Linked DNA regions of Drosophila melanogaster. The protein of the gene in region 3 interacts with the protein of the main gene of each other region in a pairwise test. Each region holds a gene or a part of one and is shown on either strand. Other genes may lie near its edges.

The links.
Region 1: the proteins of magu (region 3) and slam interact in a two-hybrid assay, tested with the Drosophila melanogaster proteins (one large-scale study listed by BioGRID).
Region 2: the proteins of magu (region 3) and CG9522 interact in a two-hybrid assay, tested with the Drosophila melanogaster proteins (one large-scale study listed by BioGRID).

Annotation. Positions count from the first base shown.
Region 1 is NT_033779.5:6,370,178-6,378,581, reverse strand, and holds slam (slow as molasses), read right to left. Parts: upstream 6,195-8,404; 5' UTR 6,001-6,194; intron 5,287-6,000; 5' UTR 5,006-5,286; coding exon 3,275-5,005; intron 3,209-3,274; coding exon 1,418-3,208; 3' UTR 1,298-1,417; downstream 1-1,297.
Region 2 is NC_004354.4:14,845,175-14,851,214, forward strand, and holds CG9522 (uncharacterized protein), read right to left. Parts: upstream 3,635-6,040; 5' UTR 3,605-3,634; coding exon 3,469-3,604; intron 3,323-3,468; coding exon 1,608-3,322; 3' UTR 1,298-1,607; downstream 1-1,297.
Region 3 is NT_033778.4:10,049,979-10,055,963, forward strand, and holds the start of magu (magu), read left to right. Parts: upstream 1-2,562; 5' UTR 2,563-2,657; exon of another isoform or gene 2,658-3,017; intron 3,018-3,116; exon of another isoform or gene 3,117-3,415; intron 3,416-4,199; exon of another isoform or gene 4,200-4,310; coding exon of another isoform or gene 4,311-4,589; exon of another isoform or gene 4,590-4,598; intron 4,599-5,985. Other genes in the region: COX7CL (cytochrome c oxidase subunit 7C-like), read left to right, coding at 493-582, 644-771, 828-840; sel (seele), read right to left, coding at 1,045-1,361, 1,556-1,723, 1,824-1,908; Def (defensin), read right to left, coding at 4,311-4,589.

The DNA.
Region 1 (8,404 bases), on a different chromosome or scaffold from region 3:
ATTTGTTTACCATTCGTTCGGAAGCACTCTAAAATATTTTCTAAAAATTCGTTTGGTTTTAAAACCACTATACCATCGGTGAGGGTATGCGAAGAATGTTGTAAAAAGCATTTCGGCAGGGCCAAAGCAAACATGCGATGCAAACCAAAGCACATAAATCCTGGTTAGTTAGATATAAAATCAATTAATTTGCATAAATACAAGTGGGAAAAAATAGTATACCCTTCGAATGATGCCAAATTGTTAAAAAGAGAGCACTACTCACTCACCTCCAACTGTAAATAAGCGCGTATATGCATGGATAAAACCCCAAATGCAATTGTAAATTATGTACTCGTTATAGGCACTAGAAATGAATGTTCATTTGTACGAGAGTAGGCATCAAACCATTTCAAAACTAGATATTTAACGGGAAAGCGAAAGGCTTAAATACTCTGAAAAACAGGCACCTAAAATGCATTAATCAAAAACCATTAACCTAAATAAGTAACTAAGCAAATATGAATTACGAATATTCACGATTGAAGCGAAAACTGTTGATACATAATTTAGTTAGCTGATCAGTTAAGACGGGTTTACAGTTGAGAAATAATCCAAATAAAGCCAAATCCAAATATGTAAGTTCTAAACTACTCATACAGAAATACATATATATATATATATTTAAATACCTACATATATCATAGGCCTTAGTTTGTGTTTCTTAACGATAAGAGTGATAATGTATATTTATTAACTTGCTCCCCGAGCGGAACAAACTGGCACTGCGAAAGAAACAAATAAAATATCTATGTATTTGGGATTGCTTCTTAAAACTTAAGCGACTTTTATTTCAGTAATCTGTGGTTCTTGATATTGACCAGTGGTACTTGTGCAAAAATATAACTATTATTTTTTATTTGAAAGTCAAAAGAATGTCGACGGGACTTTTATTTTATGTTGAACAAGTAACCATTTATTGCATTAATAGTTAGTACTTTTCTCTGATACCATGTTTGCGCAGCACTTTTGCACGTGAAATTGTTATTGAACCGAACCCAGCAACTCCTTTTGGCCCCAAACGGATTCCCTTGGCCACTGGATGTGCACTAACATGGTATCCTTGGCCAGGAATGTCTGAAGTTGATGCAACAGGAGCATTTGCTTGATGAGAGCAAGAAAAAGAAACCATGTGCTTGCAGGAAACGTGATGCTTGCCAGACTCCTACGTGTCTGCAGGATAGCAAGGAGCTATGCCCTCCAGAACCCCTGATTTTGTTGGACTCTGCATGCCCAAGGAAATACACTGAATGGCTTTAACTTTTCTCTTTAAAGTTTATTATCTAAAATCTTTGTAACATTATATGTTAATGTCTAGGAACTAATTGTTTATAAAATCTTAAAATAAAGTCAGATCCCGATGAGGTAGCACCATCGCTCAGACCTCCACGGCCCTCCGGTCCATCAGGGTGTCGAGAATCTTGTCCATGTGCTCGCTGCAGTTGGCCAGGCACACATCCGCATACTCGCTGAGGAAGTACATGAAGCTCTCGAGCTGCTCCATCGAGCAGCCGCGGAAGCCATCGTCGCGTCCAATGTTGTCAATGGCCCGGATGATGGAGCGCAGCTTGTGGACATATTGCGGCGTGTTGCGGCAGTGCTCCAGCGAAGAGTCGGCCAGATTCGCGGGCTTGGCGTAGCCACGAATGCGCTGCTCCACACTGCGAAGTTTGGACTGCTGCTGCTTGAGGGTCTGCATCATTTGCGGCACGGACATGGCGGGTGTGGCGGCAGAGGGAGGAGCCTTGGCAAACAGCTCGTCCAGGGGAACCGCCTCGTAGTCCAGGGAGAAGAGATCAGGCGAAAAGGACAGCCTACCACTGTTGTTGCCGAAGCTATCGGACTCGAACTCCGTCTGATCCAGGTCGCTGGTCTTGATCGCCTGGTTGGCACTGATGCTGCTGTTGGGCCAGGAGTACTTGCTGCGACCCTCCAGGCCATTGCTGGCACCTGTCTGCAGACCCACCAGTATGCTGTAGCTGCTCTCGATGGAATACTTCTGGGTGGTGGGCCAGAACTCAGGCACGCTGCTGAACTCAATGTGGTCAACGCCGAAGCGCAACTCCGACTGCTCTCCGCTGAGGAAGGCAAACAGCCGCTCGATCTTCTCGCTGGACATCAGTTTTCCGCTGAAGGGCACTGCGAGATCTCCGCTGGCGAACCAATAGTGAGAGCAGCCCTTCACACTGGGTGGACGCTCGGGCAGCGACTGTCGGACGGAGTCGGAACTGGGAGCTCCGCGAATGAACTTGTGTCCGTCGATTCCGAAGGCCAGGTCACGAGTCTCCCAGCTTTTCTGGGTGAAGATTTCGTACAGCAGTCGCAGGCGCTCCGGGCTGTTCTTGAAGATTTCCAGGGAGACTGTGAAGTCCCCAGAGGTGATCCAGAACATTGAGTGCGCCTTGCCGGTCGGACTCTCATCCTGGGAGTTATCAATTTCAACAGTCGGGGCATTGGCGAAGAACTCCCGCTCACTGCACGGTGTGGAGGGTGAGCTGGAGGTGGCGTCCAGATCGAGCGGATGATCCTCCCGGATCACTTGCATGGCCAGGGAACTGCGACGAGGGCGCTCCTGGATGAGAATCGGACTGAACAGTTGTTGTTGCGCCGGACTGGAAGCATGGCGTCCCTTAACTGGCGTGGAAAAACCGGATGGCTTCGATTCCGTGGCTCCAAGCGAAGATCGGCGTATCGGACTGTTGTCCATCGGATCGTTCGAGCATGTCTCAAAGCCCTGATCCACGAAACTGTCCCGCATGGCCTGTACCAGGGATTGCCTTGGTGTCTGACTAGGAGACTGATCGCTGTCTGCATTCGGCGAGGGAGATGACATCACGGTGAGGGTGTATGCCGACTTGATCTTCCGGGGCGAGTTCAAGTGGCGCATCAGTGACTTATCCAACTCAATGAAACTTGGCTCGGGCATTGGAAGTGGGTTACAGATAGCACCGGACTTCTTCTTGGCCGCTCCTGATAGCGGAGGCTTGTAATCTGAATCGGAGTCCGTTGAGGTTATTGCAGTGGCCTCGACAATGGAGTTCTCCTTTTTCCATGTAAGAGTTCGGCGCATTTTCTTCTTGCGTGGCGGACGCTGGGGCTTGGCAAAATCAAATTCACCTGTCTGCAAGTCATCCTTGGGCGTCTCTGGCTGGGATTCGTCGCTGGTTATCTGTGATAGAAAATTAAGAACAATGAGTCAACATTCATGAATCCACTTATTAAAGATATCACTTACCTTGGGGAGTGTAGACAACCCGGATTCACTTTCCTCAGCCTCGGATTGCTTGCAGCTGGATGCACTGGAGGTAACTTGACTTAGACTGGGTCGTGGGGCTGGCACTGGCGGCGCCTGGCGCTTAATGCGTCGCGGAGTGACTTGAACGATGGGATCCTGAGCTGTATCCATCTCCTTCTTTTCCTCGACTTGTGTCTCCTTCTTGGACTCGTTATCTAGCTCTAATTTTGCGATGGCCTCCTCCAGAAGCCGCTCGACGGCGGACTTTTGGCTCACATCCTCCAGAGTAGCGGTGCTCGGCTCAAGTAGCGGTTGCTCCAGAAGATTACCCTCCTCGGTGGCTATCTCAATGGTCTGCTGACCGTCAGACACACTCGTAATGTCGAACTGGACACCGTTCTCCGAGCTGAGCCAGCTGTAGAACAGGGTTTCGAGGTGTTCGTTCTGAAAAAACATTTGGCTATCCGCACCGGTGCGCTCCTGTCGAGTGCGTCGGATTTTCTTTGGTGGCGCATAGGCCTCCGTTGGCATCATGGTGCGAATCGCGGCGAGGTTTCGCTTCTGGGATGGCTCTCGGGCATGTTCATCGCTCTGACGATCCAGGCATCGGCGGGGTCGTGGCTGTGGAGCTCTGCGCTCTGGACTTGGCTTGAGGATCACAGTCAGGGTGCTCACATGCAGCTGGGAGGTGCATGTCTCCGTTTTGCTCTCAGTCGTCTTGGGGGGAGAGACACCACCTGGTCGCGGTGGCGATCCCGGCTCCAGGATACATTTCGCTTCCAACTCCTGGGCGAGATGCTTAACACTGGCTTGTCGTTCAGCCACCACCTCCCCTCGTGCCACCTGTTTGTTTACCTTCTCCTTGAGATCTGCGGCATGTGCAGTGAACTTGGGGTGCTTGGCTGCCATGTCACCGATGAACTTGTTGAACAGCAGGGCTTTGTCCTTCACGCTCAACTCGCGGAAAACTTCCTCGGCCACCAGGCAGGGTCCTTGAACTGGGGACTCTAATGGCGACACCAGGCGGTTCTGTGCCTTAACCTCCGGCGACATCTCATTTTGCAGCTGAACATACTGTGGTTCCTCTGTACGTCGCATCACCTGGCTGATCTTGGAGTTAAACAGCTGGGCCATCTCCTTGACCTTCATGGGCAGCGACGCGGATACCTTTCTGGAAGCCTGATATGCAGAGCGTGGCGTCTCCATCTCCGGCAGCTGTTCGTATTTCTGCTTGAGCTCGCTGATCTTTAGGTGGCCACTACCCACTTTTGGCTTGGGCGGCGTGACCGGATCCGACTGGAGGGCCAACTTGGCAATTGTGCTGGCCACTTTACCCGTGTTACCCGCTGCCTTGGTGGTACCCAGTGTCTTTGTTGGCGTCACAGGTACCTCTTCGTCGAAGTACTTCATCAGATTCTCGATGCTGGACAAGTCCAGGTCGGTAACCTGCACTCGGCGCGGTGATGCAAACGAGTTTTGGTACTCCAGGGCGGTCAGGAAGCGATCATCATCCAGCGAGGAAATCTCGAAGAGTTCCTCCCTGGTCATCGTAGCTCGGAGCAGGCCACAGGCGGTGCTGGCATCTCCGTGGCGGCTGGAGCGACGACGTTCCTCGATCTCCGCGTTCAGCTGCAGTAGCTCGCTGAGATCATCACTGTTCATGGCTGCCGTGTCCACTACCATCTGGTTGTGCTTGGACTGGTTGTTCGGCGTGGAATTGCTTAGGACCATTTTGGTATTAGTTTGCTGTCTTGTTGTTGACGTTAGACGTTTCAGTTTGTAACTGTGGCTTTCTGGCATTTTGCTAATAGCTTATATACAATGATCAGGTAAAATATGGATTGGGTGCAGATTTTATTGCCCACCCACTGCCTCAGATTTTCCTTAATCCAACTAGCAGCGATCAGGTAAGATTAACAGCCGCAGCTGTCGGATCGATGGATTTTCCTCGCGCTAACCGATATTTAATTATTTTCGCGAACCTTTCCGCTATAAATATATATCCAGGTGACCTGAAACAAAGAAAACAGGTAGGTAATATTAGGGCTGTGCAATAGATGTAAAATGTAAGGTTCTGGAAAGAAGGGATAACCGAGGATTCACTCGAAAGACAGCTGACGGAAAGTCCTTAAAATTTAAATTCCAATTATTGCAGTAACTCAGCGAAATCAACTCCCAGCATCATCATTATACTGCAACCGAACGAATTTTCCGAGAAAAATGCGAATGTTAACAAGACCCAGGCGAATTGCAGCCACAATAAAAATCACACACTGAAAATTCTTCATCTGACTATTGCTGAAATTTGGAGCGAAAACGAACCGAATTCAGGACCCCAGGGATAAGCAGAACTTTGCTTGCAGTTTGCCACAAAGTGACTTTCACACCGACAGAGCCATAAAATGAAATCAGGGGCTGAGATTTGCGGATGCTCAGGTGGCAGAGCTGGAGCTGATGAGTTACAGAGCTACAATGATAAGTTCCATAATGGGATACATCTTTTAACTGCCTGATATTTAACGATTTTATCTTTAATTTTTGGTTTTAATGCGCTTTTTTACTTTTAGCAAAACGGAGTGCCTATTTTTTTATCACAAAGCTGAAGTTGTTTACATGGGAAGGGTATACTTTCCAAATATTCCAAATTTTCAAGACAAAAGCGTTCTCTAACCCTTTTTTGGGCTTTCTAAAACAGGCCGGCTATTTATATAAATTAGTTAACTTACTTTGTTAAGGATTTCCTTGTTGAACTATGATCTACTTTAGGCAACACAGTATTTAACACGCACAACTTCATAAACAAATTACAAATTAATTTTGTAAACAAAAGACCGCGAAAAAGCGTGGTTATTTGCGCCAAATAACATAGTACATTTACATCGATCTAAGGGCTCATTTGCCGGCTTTACGGAATATCACAGCTGATAATAAAGCCAATCACCACGAATTAAGAATCAGCTGATTGAATCAGCATCAAAGCTCAGTGCTTTTTAAACCGTAAACTAATCTAGACTTTAAATATCATCATGGGCTCAAGAAAATGATTAGAATGTCAATAACTTATATTCTAGGCAGACCAGTGAAGATATGAGAATTCGATGGCTATTAACGGCCAAAACGGCTTACAACTCAATGATACGATAAATTCAAACGGATTGCTCCCGTGGCCTGAATTCTATCAGACGTGCCTTTATTGGTATCTGAATATATTGCTATTTAAGCCAAAAGAGGCACACCAAAATCATTCAGATGGACAGTAGTTGGTCAGTTGGCAAATACCCCAAATGACAAACAAAGCAATCCCCGAAATACCATTCGACGGTGAAAAACATTTACAAACATTGTGGTCGCCAACAGCAGCGGCAAAAATTTAGTGGGTGCTTTATGATAAACTCATGTGGCTGGCGTTCCATATCCAACTGGAATGGACGGGGACGCAGTGGTTCCACTTGCTAAGTAGCCACCGCTTCTGTCGGCGACACCGGAACGCGAATATTTGGTTTCAGATTTTGGGCACTCAATGCAGGGCCATGCAATTTTGAAAATCTGAGCGGCGGCATGTACCCCGCTTTATCAGTGCGGGTTAATTAGACACTACCAGTTCTGTAATGTTGGCAATTATTTCATTGCCGCAAAATCCGTTTACTCGCATAACATGCCCACAATCGGTCTGAATGACGATGCGCGACTTGTAATTTCATCAGCCCTATCAGTCCGTCCGTCCGTCTGTCAGTCTGTCTGTCTGTCTGTCTTCCAGTGCGCCACCTTCGCTGGCAAATCAATCAATTCCGCACAGACCCACATACATACATACATACTTACTCCGCCGAGCGAGCGCACGTGACATGGAACCCCGAGTGGCGGGCAAGACCGCCGGAATCCGGGGGTCAAGGAACGAACCTCAGCCGAGCCGAGTGGAGCACCGCCGTGGCGATCAGAAGCAGCGAGTTTGTTGCTGGCTTCCGACTAACACCACACCATTCGCAATTCGCTGCTCCGATTGCGTCACTCGGCTTTCCGCGTTCCGCTGGCCAAGCGGTTTATTTTAAAACTAATTATAAGCCAGCCCAAATATAATGCACAGCCGCTTTGAATTACATGAATGAATGAAATTCAGCACTGATAAGCCGTTCGACGGAAAGAGGAACTGCTGGCCATATCGCAATAGCCCACACTCAGCATAATGTAGCCGCGTTGGATGAGCTCTGGAATTCAGACTGCTAAAGATGTGTTTATCCTTTACATTTTGCTGACTCACAAGAAACTAGAAAATAATCTGAAACATACCAAATTGGAACCGCAGAATATTGATTTAGATGACTGAGCCCCACACCCCATTTCACATGAGTAGCTCGAGTGTCTCGAGGCATACGTTCTTTATCGCAGAATCAATTCAAGTTTCCCGTTTCTAGTCCATTTGTGGGGCAAAGACAAACGTACGGTCGCCCATTCATCGGAAACAACCACGATTTGGGGCTGACCGCTGTTTGACACGCGGCTCACGCGCTATCATCCCGGCAGGTTGTTAATGGCCCATTAATGCGGTTGCCAGGCGAAACCGACCGCTTGCCACGCGCCTTCAAGACCCACGCGGCGTATGAGCGATTTGCGCGACGACCTTCAACAAGTTGCACAGTGCAACCACCGACTTGGGGCCGGGATTTGGAATCTAAGTCGGATTCTGGATGGTCGTCGCCCTCTGGGCTGCCGTCTGCTCCGCGCAGGATGGGTGTTAATTAGCAAATAAATAAAAGCACGCCGGGTAACACATACGCACCGTGGGCAAGCAAGGAAAAGCACACGTGAGCTCTTCGGCAGAGGAAATCGGCAAAAGTTCAAGGTGCACAAACAGAGTCGAAACATTTTGTACTTTTAAAAAGGTTCTCGCTCACACTGTTAAATATTTCGACTGAAGGAAGCATCCCATTTTCTTTATTTCCTCTGCGTAGGTGTGAGTACCTACCCCCCTATTTTTTCAGTGCCTGACAGCGAACATCCTGGAAGGGCATCTACTGCTCACCGATGTCTTGTCTATCACGTTGCACACGTAATTGAAAATTAACTCAGTCCGTGTCGGAAAATCCGCCCGACAGATGCGAACCGCATACGCAATTGCTAAGCATAGAAGTT
Region 2 (6,040 bases), on a different chromosome or scaffold from region 3:
TGTTTTAGAAATGGCAATTCCGTTTTGAACCTTGATCCATCTCTGTTTAAGTCCAGATAATATTTGGAAAATAAAAAAAGATCTTATTATATGTAGGAACGTTTAAAATGTAATAAGCTACATTCATTTTCACCAAAAAAGAATTATAAAAAATGAACTACAAACTCCAGTGAACTCCAGGAAGAAACATGCATATAGACCACTTTAGGAAGAGCTTAAAAAATAAACCGACACGGAAAATCGTAAAAAGAAACTTTGCCAGCCAATGAAGCCTGAAGAGCAAATAAACTAAGAAATAGAATTCAAACAAAGAATCCAATTGAGCATTAAACTAACCGAATCGAAATACAAACACCAGACAATAGCAACATAAACCAAATGGCAAGGCGACCAGAAATAGTAAACTTATAAAAAACAAAGCAAAGTTGGCCAGAACCGGTTAAAGAAATTAAAACAAACCTAAATAAAATTAGCACCAATTAGCAGTAAACAAAAATAAATAGTGAAAATCGCAGAGTTTAGCTGGAAGCATCAAAACATAGTTGAGGTGCCGAAAGTCATTAAGATAAACTTAGACTGATCCAGTTTCAGATGAGTTGGTTCTTCTTGATTAGTTTAAAATGTACACGGTGAAAAATTACAGTGATTTAACGTAATTATATATATATATATATATATATCTAAGGTATTAAATAGGTTTATAAAGGAAATATTCGAAAGGTGCTTAAAAGTATGCAATAAAAACCATATCCTGGGCAGTAAAATATATTGCTGCAAGTTTTGTAAGAAAATTAAAAAAAACTTAAAACTATAGGGTATCCAGAAAATGATAGCCACATTTCCTGGTTTGACCAAATGCGAATGGAGAATGACAAGATTCTCACTTTTTAAGTGCCGTCTACCATTTGCGGGTTCATTTAACTTTGGCGCGTGTTCTCCCAGCGTTGGGCCCCTAAATGCACTTCAAGTTAATATGTAAAATAACAACAATATCGTATATACATACATATGTACATACATCATCGATGAGGCATACCCAATCCCGGCGCTCTATTGGTATTTTTTTGTCGGCCAGACTGACGAGCCATTGAACTTGGAGTGCGTAAACCCGTTTTTGGGATGCCTCGTTTGGCCCGATTCGGATTCGGTTCAGTTCGAGACCGGAACGGATCGGTGGGAACTTATTAAGCTAGGTCATGACGTGGTCCAAATTGGATTGACCCGAACCGTTCTGAAGACCCCGTTTGGCGCTACACTCAACGAAAACGGGTGGCAATTGAGTTAAAAGTCAATTATAAAGATTTTCGATGGCATTTATTATAAAAAAAAAAATGTTATTAATTTTATGAATTTGAATTAAAGATTTTCAAAATGTTGAAAATAATAATGATATATGATACCCTTTAAAATCCAATGAAAATGTGATTTTTTTTTTCTTACTGATTTAAAATTATGTATGGAACACAATCTTTTAAATTATTAAAGAATTGTCGAATGCTTTTAACGTGTGACGATTTTACCCGTTTGCTTTCTTTCAAACTTTCCTCTCGCATTTTATTAACCCCTTTACATAAATCGCTGATTTGGTGATCTTCATCTGGAGTTAATCAACTCCATTCGGATCGTATCATATCAGCCGCCTTTTCCCCAATCATAAATGCCGCTGCATTTGTGTGAGCGGTGGGTGGAAACGGTATGATACTGGTGTCCACCACCCGAAGTTTCCTCACTCCATGCACCTTTAGCTGATGATTGACCACGGTGGTGGGATCACTTTCGGCGCCCATGCGACAGGTGGCCACCTGGTGGTGCAGTGTGTAGGATAGCGTGCGTATGGAGCACCGCCAATAATCATCCGAGGCGAATTCGTAGTTCTCACAACCTGGCACCGGCTTGTCCAACAATCTGGTTCCAATCGCCTGCATGGCCGGCATCTTGGAGATTCTGAGTGCCTCCTTAATGCCCTCCAGCAAGTTCTCCACATCCGACGGAGCCGAAAAGTACTTGGGATCGATGCGTGGCCACTCGAGTGGATTGCGATTGTGCAGCCAGAGGCGACCCACGGAGGCGGGCTTGAAGTGCATGATGAGGAAGCTAAAGTGATCCTGCTGCCTCAACGTCAGATTCTTGTACATTTTCTCGTAGATCTCGGGCTTAAAGTTGGCTCCTTTGGCCAGGGCAGTGCCATCATCGCTAGCCAGGCTGCCGGCCACTTGGATGAGTTCCACATCGGGTTGGGTGGCCGGACTCTTGCCCGACGGCACCTTGATGAAGGTGAGCGTCTCTACGCCACCGATACTGGACAGAAAGGTGTCTGCCCGGCCCAGTAGAAACTCCTTGGCCACCGGTGCGCCCAATTGAGCGGCAAATAGAGTCTGGCCCGTTGTGTTGGTCACAAAAGTGGGTCCAAAGTGGCACATGTGATCGAACATTCTCTTACCCACTGGCAGTGCCTTGATCAGGGGTATTCCAATGGCCTTGAGGTTATCTTCTGGCCCAATCCCCGACAGCATCAGCAACTGTGGAGAGTTGAAGGCACCCGCCGATAGAATGATTTCCTTGCGGGCTTTCACCTTAAAGCTTCTGCCCTGATGGGTCAACTCCACTCCATAGGCGGACTTGGTGGCTGCATCTATCAGAACTCGGGTGACTCTAGCCAGTGTTAGAATGTGCAGATTATGACGCCTAGATCTTATGGGCTCAATATAGGCACGAAAGGCACTGTGCCTCCTGCCCTTCAGTGTGGTGGCCTGCACATAGGAAACGCCCAGCTGGGATTCACCATTGTAGTCCGTTCTCGGATGACCCGCCTCCTGGGCAGCTCTAATGTAGGCGTGTGCAAGTCGCGTCCGGTGTCGCACATCCTCCACACTCAAGGGACCACTGTGATTGTGATATGGCGAGTGCTCCAATCCCTGAAGCTGTGCATGCTCACTTCGCAGAAAGTAGGGCAACACCTCGTCGTAACTCCAGCCGGGATTTCCAGCTGCCGCCCAGGCATCAAAATCCCTACGATTGCCCCGATTGTAGATCATGTAATTGATCGAGCTAGTGCCACCCAGAACTTTGCCCCTCGGCAGGGCACACTTGTTATCGGGCATTCCACGACAGGCATGGCGTTGTGGCGTCGAGTTGTAGCCCCAATTGGAGGCAGTCGACTGCAAATGGGCCGCCAGTAATGGCACCTGATGCACTATGTTCTCCACTCCTCCGGCTTCGATAAGGAACACACTCCAATTGGGATTCTCCGAGAGACGAGCGGCCAATGTACAGCCAGCAGCTCCGCCTCCAACTATTATGAAGTCATAGTTTCTTTGGGGAACTGCAAGGAGATTTTAAAATATATGTGTTAAATCGATTACAAATTTTCCAGTACTAAAAGCATGGAACTCTCTGGCATAAATACGCTTATTATATTGGAGCACATATAGGTACTTGAATATTTCCATGATTTGAATAAACCCTCACCATCGCTGAAGAATGGCACATTGACGACATTTCCCAATCCCAGTCGCCGCAGTTCGTCCAGTTGGGAGCTCCTTTGGGAGTGGATCAGTGGGATCAGGAGCAGAAACAGAAGCTGGGTCAGCAGCAGCTTCTCCATGGTTGCGATGGCCGGTAACTGAACTCTGTGGCTACCGAGCTTTCCGTGATATTGGACCTCTACGTCTGCCAACGCACTGTGGAACGAGTTTTAAAAGTCTCAAAAAAATCTAGATATGTGATTTATTTTATATTTTACTATTATTGCGCTTTTTATTTATGGGCGTGGAAAGTTAGTTAGTGAACATTAATTGAAACTTTTATTATTTTATTTCAAATGGAACTTGCTCCACTGTGGATTATCTTGCCGGTTTGGTTCTCCCTCACTGATCTCTATACCCCCCTCTCTTTCGCGCCGCCTTTCTCCGCATCACTACGTCTTCTTTTTTTCCTCCACTGTTGAGATGAGTTGGTTGACTTGGTGGCCAGGTTTGTAGGGCCAAAACAGGCTGAGATTGTCTCAGAATTTTTATTGCCACTTGCTAATTTGCGCATTCTGCTTGCTCATCTCTACGGTCTTGCCTCTCTTTTATTTGCTGTTCCTCTGTCTCTTTTCTAATGCAGAAAACAAAAATTTAGATCATTTAAGTTTTGATTTGATAAAGACACCCATGGTAAATGGTTAATTTCTTCAGCAATTTGTAATTAGTTTTTCTTAAAATTAATGATTTTTGCAATATTTTAAATACATATATTATATACATTAGTTTTCTCTCTGTGTTTCTTCTGCATCTGAGCTCGGTTCAATGGCATTTGGATGGGCATCTTGTGCTGGCTTTGTTTATATTTTTATTTTTTATGCCGGACTGTCAGTTAAATCTTTGAAGATTGAAGCACCAGCGGCTCGGGCACTCGAGGGTTAATATATATTTCAAGCCACCCCATAGAGTATTATAATCAAGAAAAAACCAAAACAAAACAAAACCAAAAACGATTAAACGACTTTAGGTCTAGCCAAAAATAAAAAAATGTATAAAAGGGGTGGCTCAGTGCAGTTGGTATCAACCCCAGCATATGGATGCAGTTCATCCAATCCCACAATAAAAGTCATTGGATGCCCTTACAAAACCAAAGCAGCCGAAAGGGGAACATGAAACCAAAATGTGAACAAGACTGGGATTTCACAGAGGACATTGATGTGAAATTCGGAGGAAGGGCCATGTTTTGGTCATGGCAATTGCATTCAAAATTTGTCTCTATTGTGTTCGCCTTTTTCTTTTTTTTTTTGAGCGGCTCAAACCGCCCCCTCGATTCATGAATATTTCAATTTGTGTTAATGAAAAGTCTAGTGACTTTTTTCGAAAGGAAAGGGAAATGTTTTCATGAGTTTTCAATGGGAAATAGGATAGCCTATAGCTCACTCGGTATTTAGTCAAAAGTAAATGAAATAAAATTTGTGCAACAAATAAATTGAGTTGTACGTAAATTGCCTTGTTTTCTATATGCACATGTAAGTTTATAGAATATATGTGAATATATTAAATTTAATAAGCACTGTCAAAGGCTAGTCACGTAGTGACGAATGTGATTTAGAATCACAAGCCGGCTTTGAAATTCTTCGAAAAATATAAAATCCAAGAGCTTTAAGCTGAGCTCAAAGCTTTTCGTTTCATTTCGATTTGAATAGAATTTTAATATAGCCTACCCTTGGGGATATTGAAAGATATACTTATACCAAAGCAATTATTCTCAATTTTCGACTGATTTATACCCACTCTACATACATAAATAATTCTAAGGTCAAATCGATGCGAATTATACCAAGATCAATCCAAAGACTCAGCACCGAAAATTGCTTGAACAAAACACCTAACAAATTATTCACACCGGCTAAGTTCGTTAGACAAGATAAAAAACGAACGCAAAAAAAACGAGAGTGATGAATAAAAAAAAAATCATTTCCGCAACAATAAAAAGATCGAGAGAAACTCAAAAACAAAGGCGTGTAATAAATCAAAACAAAAAATCGTCAAACAAGCGGACAACTTCATGTATTTCACAGATTTTGATTATGAAGCCACAAATTGATTAGCATGAAAAGTGCCAGAGTTGAAAATCCCTATTGATATAAATGAGACAATGCCAAAGACAGAAGTCCAATAAAATTCAATGTCAAAGTCAAATGGTTTAGGCAGTACGAATTTTTTGGGCCTATAACTATTGTTATTTTTTCTGGTATTCAAGGAGTTGGATAGTTAATCATTTTAAAATTCCCAAAGTCAAATATGCATTCTATAGAGTTCATATAGTTCAATAATTCTGCTTGCATAGTAAACGAATTTTGTTTATATAGTACATACAAAACTTATAATCATTTATTTATGCTTATATAACTAAATCTTAAACTAGAATCAGTTCAGGCAAGAAAGAATTACTACACATAATAACAAAAAGTTTTCGAAGGCCTTAACTAAAACTAAAGCCCCATTTTACACTGGCCATTGCATTTAAGGTGTGATTTAACGAGATGATTCGATGGTAGGCCAGTGTAAATGGG
Region 3 (5,985 bases):
GTTGGCCGGCAGGCCATTACAGTGTGTTACAGCTTAAATTTAAGTAAAAAGTGGAAACGAAATAAAGTTACCCGTGACCGTAGAACCGATTGGTGGATGTTTTCTTTAAAAGCTGGCAAGACGGCTTATGTGGAACAACAGTTTGTTTGGTATTGGCACTTGTAAATGCATCCACGCTTATTTTTAAAGCTTTTAGTATCAATATCTTGTGGCTAAACTATGGAAACTGTGCTCGCAAATAACATGGACTTGGTAGAACGACGTCAGAAACCGATGTACACGCAAAGTTGCCAACTGGAAGGAATATTTCTAGTAATGGTGAAGTTTTAAGGGTTCCCTTAAGTAGGCTTGCCTATAAAGATATATGTCAGGAAATTTTTCGAAAAGCCAGTAACTTTCATTCGTTCGCTAGAAATCTGGGAGTAACTTCTCACTCGCAAGCAATCAAATAATTTCTTATTCCCGTCTCAACAAACGGATTAAAATTTACTCATGTGGCCCACACTTCGTAAACCCATTGGCAAGTTTAGCGGGCCGCTGATGCGTTATGGGAGTGGATATCCAGGCGGCTCTCCTGGGGCGGTAGTTAATCCAAGGTCAACACGCAGCTAACCATTCTAAGAACTTACAATTTCCCTCACAGAACTTACCCTTTGGCTTGGATAGTCCAATGCGTTTCACACTATTTTACCTAATTGCGGGAGTCGTGGGCTTTGGGGCTCCGTTCCTAGTTATTCGCCATCAGATGCTTCGTAATGTAACCAATGATCCGTAAGTAATCCGAGTAATCCAATAAAATCGTATCGTTATTAATGTTTGCTTTACAGCAAGGATGAGTAATCCCAAAATGACATAGAACACTCGTTAATAAATTAATAAAAATACATTGCACATGGAATTTATTGTCGTACATAATTTGTAACACTTGGCATGGTTTTCTTTACATTAGCTAAACATAATTTTCGTTCGAAATATCAGTACAAAGACCTCCACTGGCGGCGATCAAGGAAATTCGTTAATTAACTAAGCTTTCACTGGGACAAACTACAGTTCCTCTTTGCCATCAAAGTCATACTCCTCCTGGACCGGCGATTCGTCGCAGTAGCTCGCTTGTTCTGAGCAGATCTTGATGTCTAAATCGTTTCCGAGCTCTTCGGCCTGGAAGGCTTTAACGAAGATCTCATCGTTGTCCTCCAGTACTTCGTTGCAGAAGTGCCCCAGGCTTTTGTTGAGATCACCATCTTGCACAAAGTCAACCAACGAGGAGTCTGGGTTCATCTGACCATTGATGATCATCTTGAGGAGTGTGAATTTCCCGTTGCTCTTGTAGGTTGCCTTCAAGTAGTCGTCCATTTTTTCGCCTTAGAACGGGAAAATATTAGGAATGATAAGCAAAGTGTTATCATTAATAGAATACCACATATAACTATCTTCATTGATAAACAATAGCTACGCTCGAAGGTAAAACTTTTGACTAACGTCAAATGTTTTAAGATTAGACTGGTCTTTATCAAGCCTCTATGCTATTCCGTACCATATGGTAATAATTACTTACAGATCTTCTCCATCAGTTCGGTAAGGAACATTTCAGATTTCACTAGGCGAACTTTCTTGCTGATCGAATTTCCCTGTGCGTCCAGCCGGAATCCACTGACATCGGCCATCTTGTGGGGGTCCTCCTTGGCAATGGCCTCCTCCAGTTCCGTAACCACGGCCTTGCACACTGTAATTTATGGAACCTCAATTATCCGGGCTCCCAGGGCCAGCCAACAAGTGCACTGCCGCCTGTTGCTGGCGCGCTGTTATGTGTGGATTCTCCTTACCGTGACACTTGACCTCGCGGGAGGTGAAGCTGTAACCTTGGGCCAAGGCCAGCAGGCCGAACAGGATAAGCGCCTTCGTCAGCATCTTTTTAATTGATTGTTTAATAGTTTAACGCGTGGAAACTAATTGCATTAACCACGTCAGCAGAAGCGCCTTCCGTTTAAAAGTGCGGCGTTGATAAAGACGTGTGCTGTATTTACGACGACTTAAGAGCGACGTGGTTCTTGATGCTCTGCAGCGATAAGTGAAGAATTCTACTTAATTTATGCCCAAGATGTGGTGACGAGGGACGCGGTCAGTGGGTCTGGGTCAGCGTTCACAAGAATTGTGGTAAACGTTTTAAAGAAACCTTATTGATAATACCCGGCTATCGATAGAACTTTTCTAGCTAACGCCAGTTTTGGCTATCAAATATTTTTAAGGTGACCATCTCTACCTATTTTAAGCTAAAAATGAAATATGTGTACTTGTCGTTAAGAGATTTAATTTGATGATTCACATAAAATGATGTCGTTTAACATTTGTAAATCGTTTGAACAAAAAAAATATCGATAGTCAAGTGCGCGCGTTAATTCAAATCTTGATCGTAGCACGATGCACGTTGAAATGTTTAAGTTTGGGGGAGAGCTGCATTATATACATATGTGCATCTCAATTCTCGTATTCTCTTAGCTCTAGATCGAAAACTTATGTACATTAGCCGATGTGCTACTATATAGTGAGCCGATAACTGAAGAGTCAGTGCAAATGGAGAATCGCTCGCGAGTGGTTGCTCTGTTTTCGGATCGAGATGTGAGGACGAGGGGTTCGCGTAATTAACCGGCAAAGCGTTTGTAAATTAAAAGAAACCCACAAGTCGGCCGCGTTCCTCGATTTCTACATACTCTTATTAACCATTATAATTGGCGTTAATTAAGTGTCGTGTTTCTCTCTCGGCGCGTGTTTCTCTTCCCTATTCCCCTTGTTCGCTTGCACTGATGATCATTTTTCTTGGCGTCTGTTTGTTTGCTCGGTTAATTGATAAGAACGAATTGTAGTCGTCGGACTTGCCGTATTTATAGAGCAATGCCGCAAAAGAAACGGAAATGCAATGCAAATTGTTGCTATACCTTTTAGCGTAGGTTCAATTTTTTGACCCTGCCAAACGGAAAGTGGCATTCGCGGGCTACGAGATAAGCGATCGATGATAATTTATTCAGCTATGAATGAGTTCGAGAAGCACCGCAATCTTAAATAGAAAACACATAGATTTAATGTGGATTTTATTTAAAAATATATAGAAAAATATATATCTCCTTATTAAAATCAAGTGCAACGGCACAAACCTTTAACACAAACACCTTTAAAGCCCTTCTTCGAACAGAGGGAATTGCACCGCTCAATGCAGGACTGTCGCCTTGGGCGGACATGTTCCTTCGCATCCTGGATAAGACTCCTTTGAAGCTCCTTTTGCAGAAGTCTATTCTCGGAATCCTTCGGAATAGATCGAACCTGCATTAAGCAAACCGCAACTAGAGTTAGCGCCAGAATAATCGTGATCTTCATGTTGTGATATGAAATCGAGAACTGTTCCAGCTCGTTCAGGTTGCATTCGTGTTTTATAGTAAATTGAAAGGCTGCCGGTTTATGATAATGAGTATTTTTGTCGTAAGAATAGAAAATATTATTGTTTCTTTTCAAAGTTATGCGGAATAAAGTATATGCGAAAGCTGTTTCCGTTTGTTGCTCAGTTAGAAACTGACTAATTATGCCGTTATATGACATTGTATGTTTGGAAACTACAGCAAAAGCTTTATGTAACCAAATTATATTAAAGTACAACGCAAACAATCGATGGGAGAAATTATACAAATTTAAAAAGAATTTCAAATTTGTATTGCTTTTTTAAGTAAAGTTTACTGAGCTTAATATTTCTTTATTAAAATCTGCCTTGAATCGCCATGAAGACCAATAACTGCTCCCGTTAAGAGCTTTTTTAAACAAAGTAAATATATACGTATATATTTGGTATATATAGATCGTGCTCCTCGGGACCTCAATTTTTTTTTTAGCTCGATTAGGTTTAGTTAACTTATATGGTAAGTCGCTAACGCTAATGACCGATATTTTGTTGTACGAATTGGTAATGATAAACGCAGATTATTTTCACAGACTAAGACTAAGGAACATACACAAGGAATAATTAAGTCGTTCTTCTATGACTTTGAAAGTTATAAAGCCAAAGAAATATAAAATATTTTGAAAATTTTCTGTGATCAATATTTATTATTAAAATAGTAGCTTAACTATTAAGAAATTTTTACAGTCCCAGTTCCTTCTTACCAATTATTTCCATAAAAAGTAATTAGTAATAATTACAAATCATTATAATATTTAAATATCTGTCGATTAAAAGGATCCATTTATATATAGAATTTTTCAACGTTTTGTTTTATGTGTGACACTTAAAAAACGAAAATTTTTGGTGTACACAGAGCGAAACGAAATCAATTGCGGCAAACGCAGACGGCCTTGTCGTTGCAGTAGCCGCCTTTGAACCCCTTGGCAATGCAGTGGCCGGCGCAGGCGGTGTGGTTCCAGTTCCACTTGGAGAGTAGGTCGCATGTGGCTCGCTTCTGGCGGCTATGCTGCAGCACCTCCTGGTGGGCATCCTCATGCACCAGGACATGATCCTCTGGAATTGGATCCACATCGGAAACTGGCTGAGCCTGCGCCACGCAAGCAAGCAGAGCAAAAGCGATAGCCACGAGAACGAAGAACTTCATCTTGGAATACAACTGGAGAGATACTGTTGTTGCAGATTGTGGTTTCGCCGAGCTTATATAGCAATGCGACGGGCTGATCGATTCGGCCCAGGGACTCCCACCCGGTGACTTACCTTCCCATTGTCTCTTTTTCTGTGCAGGAAGACACGTCTCGGGGGTTTTTAATTTTTAAGTTCACTGCAAATGGGAGAAACCGTTGTCTAGATCATTATTTCATGTGCTTTGCCTGGAAAATATTGACAATATTTCATAGATAAGAGCAAAATACAGCCGACAGAGCCCGTTTCTGCAATAAGTTATTTGCATTTCTAGGGATTTTAACTGCCTTAAATTTTAGGCAGTAAAGTATATTCCACATGACAAGTTAATTGTAAAAAGCAACATCTACGAAATTAACCATTTCAAATTGTTTAGGCCTTACTTGAGAAAGAATCTTTGGTTTGCGAAATATGCAGGATATTTGTATATATGCAACGTTGATAAAAGCCTAAGTAAATATGTGCCCTTTAGTAGCATCCAATTTCGATTTTATTACTCCCAAACTGTTGAAATTAGCTGATGTAGGGGAATCCATATTTAATCATCTGAATTTCTAGCTAACTGACCGATTGGGTGCCACTTTAAGGGCTATACTCACAGCTACACAGCTACACAGTTGGCTCAAGCAACTGAGATACTCGGTTACGGATACATAAACACATGCGACAATAAATAATTTCTACCGAAAAGTCTCTTCATAATGCCGGGCAAATAAACAAACAAGAATCACACAATGATTAGTTGGGCATACAGCGGCAGGGGCGGGTGTACTTGTATCTGAATCCGTATCTGCGCGTACGTGTATCTATATCTGTATCGGCATCTGCATCTGGTTCTCAGCCCAGTCGCGCTGAGCCGACAATCCCGATCGAATCCCACGACCGAGGCTTTTTCAGTTGCCCTGCTCCTTGGCTGGCCGTTGCCTGTTTACCTTTGTTATCGACCAGGTTGTCTTGTCTTGCATTTTGGCGTCATACTGTCTGCCAGTCCACTCCACTTGAGTTTCTACCCCGCCCCTTACAACCGTCTACAGTCTAGAGTGTTGCCCGCATGCCCATCTTCACACGAGGAGAAAATATCGAATCTTTTGCGTTTCCACAGAGAGTCTTTAATATCAATACATGAGGATTTTTTTGTAATATGTAAAGGCTTATAGATAGGTGTACGCATCAGAACTGCATATGTACATCCCAAAATCCAAATCTATAGATCCCTCAATATTGTAGAAGATTTGGAGTTAGCTAGAGTTGCTACTTCTGGACGAAGGTACTATTTACAAGTACAGGTATATTTTCCCCAGTGCATGCTCGATCATCGAAGAAGACCACAAAACGGAGTGTGGCACAGCCGAAAACAA